Drosophila melanogaster: one gene and its partner. The protein of the gene in region 1 interacts with the protein of each later gene in a pairwise test. Each region holds a gene or a part of one and is shown in the gene's direction. Other genes may lie near its edges. The genes, in order: Psf2 and Ctf4.

Region 1 (3,235 bases):
TTAGAACACGTATTTGTTAAACTGGATTATATAAGTCTTTTTTTTTTAATGTACCCACCTGGCCCTGCGTTCCAACTCATCGGTCTTCGGATCTCGGATAAGCACAAACGGCAACCGATTGGATACCACGATGAGACTCGCCTTGGTGGAGGGCTCCCCGGCATTGGTAACGATGATTTCCGTGTCGGGCATCGTGATCCTTGGTAAGCTAGCTGTAGAAGAGTTAAACGAATCTTCTCCTGCGGTCAAGTCTAGCACATAATTTTTGACAACAGCGTATGGGAAAATTCGCGGATGTGGAGGTTAGACAACCGTCTAGTTCAAATCCAGGCTTATCAATGAACGAGTCCGTTCTTCCGAAGCGAGAGCGACCGTTGCCGAATTTGGTTCGAGATGCGCTGATCGATGACTGAAGACTGCTCGAAGCCAAGTCAATCACTGCCTTCTTATCAAAGCTACTCTCAGATGCAATTCTACGTGGAAATGGCAGGCAATTTTCCTGGCTGATTGGCGGTGAGTCGATTACGTTAGTTTCGATGGTCGCGAGAGCCAGCAGCTCCGTACCCTGCCGAAAATAGACAAGCACTAAGCCAACTAGGCGATCAAGTCGCACTTTTCTGCTAAAAATTAATGCCAGCCAGCCAACCCCCTCCACCCATTCCATCATGGGTTCCACAGTCCACTCTCCGGCTTATCAGAAAATCGTCCGGCATCTGCTCCTCTCGCGCTGATTACATTTTTCCCAGCGGATGTGAGAGAATCGAAACCTGCGCAGGAGAATACCTACCGCTTCTGTCCTGGCCTAGTGGCCAAGTGTTCACCCAATTGATCCTTGAAGGGGTTAGATGTCATGGGGATGTGATCTGAACTATCGGTGCCGCAGTTTACACACCGCAGATAGTTTTCTAGAATTAACTGGCCGTGCCTGGTATTATCAGCTCGGGAACATTTCACGGCAACGACGGCCACAACCTCATCATCCTCCGCCTCCTCCCCCTAACCACCACCCATCCCATTCCATCTCATCGATGTTGTCTCTCGATGCGATAAGTCAACAAATCGATGCTGTTGTTTACGCTTCGGGCTCAGCCTTATAAAGAACATCCGAATTGTACACAGAAGATTTGTATTTCTATTTTCGTTTCTCTATCGAAGTTGTCTGCAGATTGCAGTTGAAATCTGTTCAGTTTGGGATTCCAGCTAGTGCAGATCTAACCTTGTAATGACCGCCATTTCTGGAGTTCATTACCGGGCGTATAGTTTTATTTGCCCGGAAAGATACAAGACCGATAAGGCTATCTAGTGCATTTTAGTCTCGGATTTTACGGCGAAGTGGTGCAAGGGATTACGCCCGGGCAGCTTATATATTATAGAACGGAAAACTTGGCTGAACTTGAACGCTTGATCATGTTTGGCATTCATGCGCTTATCACGATGCCCGGCTGGCGTTTTACGTGATTCTTGATAGTTGTCGTCGCCTTAGCCGGAATCTGCAATAACACATTCGCACCGGGAGAACAAATTAGTCAGCTCCATCGGTTGTAGCGGTGCAGCAATGCGATGCGATCCGATCCGGCCGGCGATAGTGGTAATGATGGTGAGATAACCCGGCCGAAGGTCGCCGAATTACGGTTGGCATATTTATAGTGGCGAACTGTGGCTATTATGTCGCAGAAGTCTATAGTTTGACGTGATTAAATTGACGCAGAGCCCGCAGGCGAAAGATTCGTGATGCAAGCAGATTGTTGGGAAAACAACACCGTTATTAACGGTCAATAGCAGAGCTGGGCTGCCAGACTGCAGAGATCACTGGGTCGATAGCATTGAGATCGATAGCGGACAGGTGTCATCACTGGCCGCTCGAGTGACCGTATGTTCCCGCATTTGTTTTGTTTGTTTATAGCAATTATGGATCCTTCAATTATTGAATTTATTGGCGAAAAATGCATGATCAGCATAATACCGAACTTCAGCAACGAGCCTCTGCACCTGATATACGGACCTGTGGGCCCTTTCCGAGCCGGTTTTCCCGTCTTCGTGCCCCTGTGGATGGCCACGCATCTGCGCAAGCAACAAAAGTGCCGAATTGTACCTCCAGAATGGATGGACATGGATATATTGGAGGAAATCAAGGAGGAGGAAAAGCGCTCAAAGTATGTATGATGTGGGTATGCCCGTGGAAAGCAAATCTTATTCTCCGCCTGCCCATAGGTTCTTTACCAAAATGCCCTGTGAGCATTACATGGTAGTGGCCCAGTTGGTCATGAGCACGGCTCCGGATGACGTTCCGCGTTGCGAGGAGCTGCGCACTGTGATCAAGGACATCTTCGACATACGCGAGTCCAAGCTGCGCACTTCGATCGACGCCTTTATCAAGGGAGAGGGCACATATGCAAAGCTAGACAACCTCACGCTTCTGGAGATCCACAGCGTGAGACCCATTCTGCCCTATTCCCTGGACCACATAGCACGGTACCAGCGCACGGCCACTGCGTCTCAAAGGGACACCTCCATGCTAAGTGCATCCATGGCAGGCTCCAGTTCGGGTCCGAACAGTAACTCTCTGTTTTCTCAGTGATTATTCCAGTCAAACAACATTGTTGGGAACATTTAAGATAATAGATTTAGTTATTAGCAGGAGCTTATGTAGCCTGTAGTCATTAAACCTCTCAAAAGTTCAAAAATATTTGTATGCTTAAAATTAAATATAAATGCTTTCAGAAAATTAAAAAAAGTAATTAGAATTAGAAGTTTTTGATAAGGCATTTCAAATTCCGATAAATTTCTTTATCGATATGCGCTTATCTAACAGGACTGCGCCTTACAGCACGACAGCAATTTAACAGCAGCTGCTATCATATAATTGCACTGTATCCCTGGTTTTCCACGAAGAGAATAACAATAACTTTTTTATACAAATAAATAAGGATAAAGCGAGATGAGCGAGTCTGCGGTAGCGGTGGAGCCGGAAGAAAGGATGGTTGCTAACAACAAAATCCATTTCTCCAAGGAGGTGAAGCAGGTCATCGACAAGGTGAGTCAGTGGAACATATGTTGGTAGCAATTACCAACCCAATTCGAATGTCCATAAAAGGTTCTCAAAACGGACGATCCGATGGATGCGCCGGACTTCAACACTGTGGACTACATCAACCAGCTCTTCCCCAACGAGCAATCGCTGGCCGGTATTGATGAGACCATCCAAAAGATGCAGTGCGAGGTGTCCCTGATTGAT
Region 2 (9,428 bases), on another chromosome or scaffold:
CAGAAACCTGAAATTGTTATTCATTTGCTAGCATTCATCGATGTGTGTATTTAGTGTTTCTTCCACACTCTTTCTTTTCCCCTCGCTCTCCGATATTATCCAACCGAGAGTCTCAACTTAATATTCCAAATACTTATAACTCCTAAGACTCCAACTATTCCGTTTGAAACTACGTACAACGATTAATATTTATTGCTAACCGCCTAACTTCTTACCCACAATTCCACAATACCTACTAGCATAAACCAACTGATTAGGTAACTTAAGCTTTGCTCTTGCATTTACTTTATATTTGCATTACAAACAAAACTCAACTTTTAGTTTATGTTAAAGCCAAAATTGTAGCTGTAATCTAATTGATTAGCCAATAATTATATATGATTATACATATAGCGAAACGTACCACACAAATAAATATGATTTTGTACTGAAAAGAACACATTTGCCAGCATGGTTGATTTCGCAGTTAGCCCAATATATACAGTTTATTGTACTACAATATATGTTTCAGGCTAAGAAAACAGTATTAGTACGAAGTAATCGACTCGATTTGCACCTCACAAACAAGTACAAAAAACACAAGAACACTAACACAGCTAACAAAAATTTCACATTGCCACAATCACAGCCACAATTGAAAACTAAATGCAATTTTCCAAAAACCAAATTTTTTTCCCAACGCATTGGCAACACGACGAACTGGGATTGGTCAAACCAAATCGACAAAAAATACGAAATTCCTATAAACGCAATTTATTAGTTACGCTTACCGTTCCCGAGGATTCGCACTCAATACGAAGTTCGCTTGCAGGTACTTCAGTTGCCTCGCACGGCTCCTCGGAAACGATGTCGCTGGAGGACAACAAGTGAGTATATATCCATAGTCGGTTACAGTCAAAATAATCTTGGTCACAATCAGATCTATAAGATCTATAATTTCCATATTATTTTGACTGTAACTCCTTGAAAGCATCGTTAGGCTCATCTTCTACGACCACATCCTTTGTAGCATTCACCTGAGGACCGCCAACATGCTGCAGAACACTCCGCAGCGCGAGATGCTCCTGGGCACCTGACGTCAACTGCCGCCCGCGTCCGTCGCGGCGCAGGCAGCTGCAGAGAATCGCCAAACACTCACCACAGCCACCTCTGCGGGATTAGCAGTAGCAGGAGCAACGGAAGCTAGCCCCACATCCTCACCGAGAGCTACGCCCACACCGCCGCCCGTGCCGCCGAGATCTCCGCTGTCGCTGGGATGACTAGCAAAGCAAAAGGCGGCGGCCAACCGGAGCGGGATCACCTAGTTCCTGGTACTAGCCGTCGTCTGCCTTTGATTAGCCTTAAGTCTTCAAGCCCTGCCACCGCTGCAAACACTAGAGCTAGGCCTTCCATGGGTGCAGCCAATAGCAATCACCAAGCTTCGAGAGAATGAGACCACACACACACACACTTTGTACATACACCGCGGGAAGCTTGGGGCACGACTTGGTAGTGACTTAGATGCGCCAAATTAAATTTACAACAGTTACGAGTTAAACAATTGATAAAAGCAATCGAGAATTACATAAAATACATAAAAACTGCTAATGGAACAATATTTAAGCAAGAGCAAATCGTATCTAATACAACTACAAAGCGGTTAGAAGTCTATTTAATTGCAAATTGAATTCAACTCAAGCATATATATTATAGAAATTGTTGTAAATTGTACTTGTATATACGTACCAAACAAAATACAAAGCAACGTTAAAAAGTTACGTCCATGAAATGCAAACGAATGTAAAGGCGAAAGGCAACCAAATATTAATTGAAAACTATAGATAACAGAATCGTACGATTACGCTAGATTTATGTATAGTTATACCCTCATAGCAGTACACGAACCGAGCAAACTGACAAATGAATTGAGTATTTACCATTAATTTCATGATTAAACTTTACACAAACATGAATCACTAGTTTAAGTTTCTCAGCAAAAGGAATTATGTATATTTTAATTTAAATTATGTTCAACAACGTCTCCAAATAAAACTGTCAACTGAAGCTAAGCTAATCTCCCGCTTTGGTGTCCAGCTTGCCGCCCTTTTCGATAATCGACCCTAGATCCTTGAGCGACACCTCACCGGTTCCTCTTTCCAGAGGCTGTGGCTGATTGGGACCGGGTTTCCAGCCCACAAAGTAGATGATTTGGAAGGTTGCAGGTATCCCCTTCTCGTTGGGCTTTGCATACAGCTCCTGGTAGATGGCACTGGCCGCGAGCATCGTTTCTCGACTAAGATGAGCGGGTCGATTGAATGCAGCATTGTTCTCTGCCATACCCTTGAGATCCCACATCAGTTCGAACATGCTGGGATAGCCGATGACCAGTTCATCGGTGTCTATTGTCAGCATGGTGAAGCCGGCGCGATTAAGCAGGGAACCAATATCCCTAATCTGAGTGAAGGGCGAGATGTGCGGAGATATGCCACCTTTGCGCTCCAGCTCGGCCAATTGGAGCGAGGAGCGCAGCTCGTAGAGGGTGTCTCCACCAAACATGGAGGCTATAAAGACCCCATCCGGTTTCAGACTCTGCTTAATTCTGACAAAGCAGCCCGGCAGATCATTCACCCAGTGCAGACTTAGGCTAGAGATGACCAGATCCAGTGAATTGTCCTCAAACTGAAAGGGATTCTCATTTAGACTTGCAACTTTGGTCTAAGTAGATTAATTACCCACATCCAGCTGCTCTTCGTCCTTAACTAGTTTCACCATTTTCAGACCCGGAGTGCCCTGTGCCTGCTCCAGCATCGTAGCACTGGTGTCCGTGAGCGTCAGCTGCTCCACACTCTCCGCCAGAATGTGTCTGGACAGATAGCCGCGACTGCATCCGATATCCGCCGCCGCCTTGAACTCCCGCTTAATGTCGAATACTCTGTCAGCCAGGCGGAAGCCGATCTCCTCCTTCAAGTAATCGTATAGTCCAACGTCTTCGCTGTATACGTATATTGTTTACTAATTGAATATATACTCTAATCCTGGCGAGAAGATCTCACCTGAGTGCGGCCCTTTCCTTCTGTAATCTCTTGGCATTGCGGTCAAATATATGTTGCGATGTTTGGGTGAGTGAGGATAGGGCGCGGAGTTCACATTTGACCTTTAAGGTCGATAGTTTTGTTAATTTTCTTAACATATTCCGACTTTTGATCAGAGCAGTGCTGTAATAAGCAACCGGCTGCGGGAAAATGAAAATATTACATTTTTAAAATGGAAAGTCGAAGTATGTATACCCTACATGTCTTATATCTTGTGGATTCTTAAATTTTTCTATTTATGAAAGTAATACCAATGTTGTTTAAACAATTGAAACGTCATGTGTGACTATTTACAAATTATGTATACAATGTTTCACGTATTATTGAATTTAAATTATTAACGGGAACGTGGTGATATATTTTTTTTAATATTTAAAAAGAAAGAGTATTGAACGAACAGCTGTTGGCCAGTGCTGGAAAAGAGCGACATCAAGACATTCCCATTCGGCCGTTGGCTTACACTGTTAGGTAGTGCCTATTTGTTTTGGCGCCAAAAGTGACGGGAGGTCATCGCGAGAGATCAATTGAAATTAAGCATTAAATCACATCATGAGCTTCTTGCGCAGTGCCCTGCGCTATGCCCACACCAATGGCTACACGGGACTCCTTTACACTCCGCGCGGCGAGTTCATCATCACGTGCGGCACAGATGGAGACATCCGGCACTGGACCTGCATTAGTGACGACGATCCACGCTCAAGTTGCCTGGGCGAGTTCGTCATGTGCATAGCCCACACGGGAACCCGTTTGCTGGCCTCGACGGATCGGAATACGATCCATGCCTACACCTTTCCCGAGATGGACAGCGATGGCATCCTCATGCGATTCACGGCACCGGCTACGTGCCTCAAGGTATCCGGTGGCTATACTGCTGCCGGCAGCGAGGATACCACTATAAAGGTGCTTAAGGGAGATACAGCTGGCAACGAAACGGTGCTGGAGGGGCACACTGGTCCCATTCTGGCACTGGACTTGTTTGCGGAGCGAAAGCTGCTGGTTTCCGTGGCCGGGGATGGCCAACTGAAGGTGTGGAACTTCGAGGAGGGCAAGGAGCTGAAGACCATTGGGGGCTTGCCAAAGGTCAACAGTTTCGAGAGCGCCAGCCTGTATGGCACTCCGCATTTCGAGCCACAAAGCGGTGAACTTCTGGCCTATGCCGTTGACAACGAGATTGTGGTCCTCAACACGGCCAACTGGGAAGTGGCCTTTAAGCTGCGCGACGACTCGGTGTCCAGTAACTACAGCTGCTGCCAGTTCTCGCCCAATGGTGAGCGCCTGGCCGCCGGAACAACCAAGGGCGAGGTGAGCATCTTCGATGTAAAGAAACGGAAGGCAGTAACAGTGGAGATTCCGCCAAGCGACTGCAATGCCATAACATGCCTTGCCTGGAATCTGTCCGGAGAGGTGGAGGTGGCCTTCTGCGATGCCACTGGCCAGCTGGGAACCGTATTTCTTGGCGATGCAGTCGACACAGGCAACGGCGATGGATTGGTGGACGACCAAGCCGAGCTGTTGGGCGATGACTATGAGTTTGAGGCCGGCGATGACGTGGACACTGCAGCAGACGACGGCGATGGCGTTAGTCTGGAACAGCTTAAGCGCAAGGTGATGAACTTTGCGGATCCCGTAGATCACGATGACGCCTCCAACCAATCCCTGGACAGCAGTAGCCGAACTGTACCTGCACCCGTTGCCCCGCAAATCAAGCTCTTCAAGCAGCAGACGGCCTTTCAGCCCAGTGCCACACCGGCCGATCTAGAGCATCGCTACATGGCATGGAATGATGTGGGCATTGTTACCGCCCATGTGGAGCCCTCAGGCGATAGCTCCATCGATGTGGAGTTCCACGACGCTAGTATTCACCACGCTCTACACATTAGTAACTACAATCAGCACAATTTGGCCAGTGTGAGCAGTGGAGCTTTGGCATTGGCCTCCAACGAATCCAGCAAGTTAGTAGTCATTGCTCTGGCCGCCGCCGGAAACAAAGAGTGGTCACTCAGCCTCCCGGATTGCGAGAGTGCAGAGGCTGTTGTGGCCACGCGATTTCTAGTGGCTGTGGCCACCAGCTCCAGTTTTCTGCGTATCTTCACCGTGATGGGTACACAGCGTGAGGTGCTAACCATACCAGGACCAATGGTGGCTATTGCTGGACACGAGCACAGCCTAATGGTTGTTTACCACAGTTCCGCGCCCAGTCAGACGCAGCAGCATCTCGCCGCGATGTTGGTGAACATAAATGGATTGAGTTTGCGACAAGAATATCTGCCCGTTCCGCTGACTCCAGGCCGGCAGCTCACCTGGTTTGGGTACAGCGACACCGGATCGCCGAGTATTGCCGACAACATGGGTCTGCTGCAGTTGTATCGCCGGAGCAGCAACGCCTGGTTCCCCATCTGCGACACCATGAAGCAAAGCACCAGTGTGTCGCACAACTTCTTTGTGGTCGCTGTATCCGAGAAACGTCAGATAGTCCAGGCGGTCCTGTGCCGCGGTACCTCCTATCCCATGACCAATCCGCGTCCCATGCTCCAGGAACTGCGTATGCAGATCCCGCTCTGCGACGTCGAAGTGGAAAAGTCCGAGCTGGAGGATGCACTGCTGCGGTCCAGTCTGATGCAAATGGATGGGGCAGAGAAGATGCAAAAGGAGACGGCCATCAAGCTGTTTGCATTGGCCTGCAGCAGCGAGTGCGAGACGCGAGCTAGGGAATTGATCGAATCGATTGCCTGCACTGATCTGCTTCAACTGGCCGTGAAATACGCCACGAAACGTGGACGCATCCACCTGTCCGACCGTCTGTGCGAACTGCTACCTCAATTGGAGGCGGTCCAGGAGGCACGCAAGCAGCAGACTTTGTTGGGTGCCAGCGGCATTGCGGCCACCATTGTTCTGCCAATGACTCCCACATCGGCCTCACAAAGCGGCCCAAAACCCAAGGCCATCGAGCTGAGCTCGGCCAAACGGGGCACCCTGAAGAGATTGGTCAATTCACCCAATATGTTTAAAGCAGCAGCAGCATCGGCAGCATCCCGGCCCTCGACTCCGGATATCACACCCTCTCCGCTGGACACCCAGGAAAACATATTCGGCGAATCGGAATCCGAGGTTCCCATGGGTAAAGCCACCGATCACCGGTCCCCTTTGAATTCGGTTAATCCCTTTGCTATGAAGCGCAAACTGGGCGACACTGGAGTCATCTTTGGATCCGAAAAGCTGAAGCTGGCAAAGAAATAGTCTGTTTGTAGATTGATAAGTAGGTTTAAGATAAATATATTATATAAATAATGTGTAACGTTTATCCCATTCTGTGAGCTACATGTAAAATAACAAATTTTTATTTGAGCTTTTTATGGAACAGAATTGTTAAGGATTAATTTGCTTATTTAAATTTAAAGAATAAAATATACTTTTATTTATATTAAAATGTATATTCTTTAAAAAGCGGAGGGTACAAGTTTATTTAAAATATGATCAATATATTTTTAAATATTTTAAAATTCTACAAATTAAACATTCTGGTCTCCAAAGAATACCGTTGGTATTTTTATCTTTGGAATTAAACCAACCAAATAGTGTGACCAAACTTTGTAAATGACATTAATCGATCGAAACGATCATTTTAGGCTGGATTTTCCACGACTTTCAAGTCAAAGTTATGTGTTCGTTTAATTCTATTTTGTAAATAAGTGTTACACGCTCAAATTCCAACATAAAATTACACACTCATACACATAGGAAAAAACACAATATAAAGGTTAGAAATAATAAGCAAAAAAGGTGCTAGATATATCAAAAAAATAAATATATATATTTTTTAAATAACAAACTAAATTGACAGTTACATACACGTATGTAAGTATTGCGGCAGCGAGTGCTTCCTTTTGCGTTGTTTACGAAATTCTCGCCACTGGAAGAAAGCTAAAGAACTCCGTAATGAATTTCCAGTTCCAGCGAACTGATCACCGCTATTCAGAAGGCTCTCTGCTGCAGACGCAAACACACACACAAGCAGGCAAACACACAGGGACATCGTTAAAATCTAAAGATGGAGAGACTCTATTTCCAATTTAATGTTGAATTAGTTTTCGTTGAAGCCATTTTTTAACCCAACAACTTTTTTAAGAAATCCCCGTCTGGGTAACCCGTGCATATAAAACCCAACGCTCGCGCATCACTCTCTTCATTTGTTACCTGAACGTTACGCCGTGCATTTCGATCGTCAGCTGAATAGTACATACTATATCATATATAATATTTCAACGTGTGTGTGTGTCTGCGTCTTTGCGTTTTGTTCGCGTCAAATAAGTAACTTAATTGCGATTATTCGCAACAACAATTATCGATCCTACCCTTTTTGTTTGAGTGAGTGTATTACAATAACAAAAACATAGAAAAAAACAACAGGAAAAAATCAGTACAAAATAAAGAACATCAAGCCAAAATGACAAAAAATAAAAAGAACATAATCAACAATAACAATGGCAACGCAACCCCGCCGGACTTCCCAACACCGCCACCGACGCCACCGATCAATGCCGGTATCAAACCGCCCGGCACCTACGCCAATGGAATGCCTCGCAAGCCGACGGTTCCGTGGGGTAAGCTATATACTATGTATATACTATATATGATCCATAACATCGGATCACTTTTCACGGGCACAGAGCGCGAGTTGATGGGCTCGTTTTTGCTGGAGATGGCCAGACTCCAGGTGATAAGCGCCCAAACGGAGTGGTACGTGGACAAGGCCAAAATGCGAAAACTATTCGAGGTGCACTTGAACGCCCTGCCCAACAGTAGCGAGATTCGTCAGAAGCTCAGCAGTCAGGGAGCTACGAATGTAAGTTGAATCACATTGATAATGCCTTATTGCTATCCTATTTCCTGTACAGTGAGCACTGCCAAATGAGCTTCGGTCGGGGTTGCCTTAGAAAACTAATAAATTGCATTTTGTTGGTCCGATATGTACATGTGTAGGTCATTCTTTAAAATATGAAATATAATATATTAGGATAAGTATAATCGGATACAAAATGTAAACATGCCTTAAGTTGCTCAATATTCTCGACATTGCATTGCAGACCACTCGATTTCGCTAGTCAAAGCGCGATAAGACTGATTTCGTACTGTATGTATCTATATATGTATGTATGTGGCTTTCCTTTGTCTCGCTCCAGTCCAAACATTTTCCCCGTATTATCAGAGCAACTTTACAACTATTTGCACATACATACGATCGACGTCGTGTGCGATCGCGATTTGCTCGCTTGAGTCTATGAGTCATCTGGGTTCTGGGTTTTGGGTTTCCCCTGCCGGATTATTCTTTCTTTTACACTCAGATGCGCGGAATCTTTGCTGGTACAGCAGCAATCTGATCTAAACAAACGTAATCATTTGTTTATAAATTATAAACATTAACAAATGTACATGCATATTTTGTATATGACTTTAAGTGGATTTCAACTCAACTCAATGCTGAGAGTTCAGTTTAAAAACAGAAATATTATATTGTGTCAAGATCGTATATCTATAGCTCTATTGTTGTGACATACCGCACTTATAGCGCATTGTAATTATTTATGCCGTTAAAATGAAGTACATAGTAACAAGTTTACATCTCCTGCATATGGGTTTTCCATTTCAAAGGGATCGCAACTCGTTTGGGAAAACAGCTTTAGGAAAAGAACACAAAAATTAGAAAAGGAAAATCTGTCATTGTGTATTTCTCTTTGGTGGTCGTATGGTGAAATTCGATATGTGGAGTCAAGTGATTCCCCGTTTTCATTGGTATTTCAATGCCCATACATGCATATGTGCATACATACAGTGCCTATTGCGCCAGTGCAATTTTCTGACCGTTGAGATATAACAATCCTTTTCGGCGATTGATATAAACTATAACATTCGAAATTAAATGCAACATTTTCATTAGATTGGCTCCCTGCTGCATAGGACGAACTTTCTAATCAACACGCCTCGTGGAAACCCCAACTATCGCATCAAAAACTTCTCCTTGATGGACTTTCGCAAGGAGAAGTTCAATTTGCTGGACGAACAGCACCGATTGCGGGGAATCGCCTCCACGACCGATGTGCCCGGAGGAGCACCTGCTGAGGGCAACAAACCGATAATCGAAGGTAGTCTATCCATAATTAAGAAAAAAAATATTCTCATTATGCGTGAGAGTTTTTTTGTTGGCAGAATACAAACTTGACACAGACGTAAAGCCTACGCTTCTAAAATTTCAAAAGAGGCTGCTGCTGCAGTCAGATAAAGATTTCGAACTCCAATCCCTGGGCTGCTATATCTGCCAGGAGAACTTCGAGAAAATTGAGAAGTATGAGGAGCATGTGG

What was found.
Region 2: the proteins of Psf2 (region 1) and Ctf4 interact in a two-hybrid assay, tested with the Drosophila melanogaster proteins (one study listed by BioGRID).

Annotation. Positions count from the first base shown.
Region 1 is NT_033779.5:4,385,682-4,388,916, reverse strand, and holds Psf2 (partner of Sld five 2), read left to right. Parts: upstream 1-1,560; 5' UTR 1,561-1,597; intron 1,598-1,846; exon of another isoform or gene 1,847-1,903; 5' UTR 1,904-1,908; coding exon 1,909-2,153; intron 2,154-2,211; coding exon 2,212-2,578; 3' UTR 2,579-2,735; downstream 2,736-3,235. Other genes in the region: Tps1 (Trehalose-6-phosphate synthase 1), read right to left, coding at 59-192; Vps53 (vacuolar protein sorting 53), read left to right, coding at 2,939-3,034, 3,095-3,235. UniProt on the Drosophila melanogaster protein: The GINS complex plays an essential role in the initiation of DNA replication.
Region 2 is NT_033778.4:13,977,428-13,986,855, reverse strand, and holds Ctf4 (chromosome transmission fidelity 4), read left to right. Parts: upstream 1-3,538; 5' UTR 3,539-3,620; coding exon 3,621-6,308; 3' UTR 6,309-6,494; downstream 6,495-9,428. Other genes in the region: CG8067 (uncharacterized protein), read right to left, coding at 2,050-2,658, 2,716-2,971, 3,033-3,169; CG6701 (uncharacterized protein), read left to right, coding at 7,516-7,672, 7,739-7,914, 9,007-9,211, 9,276-9,428.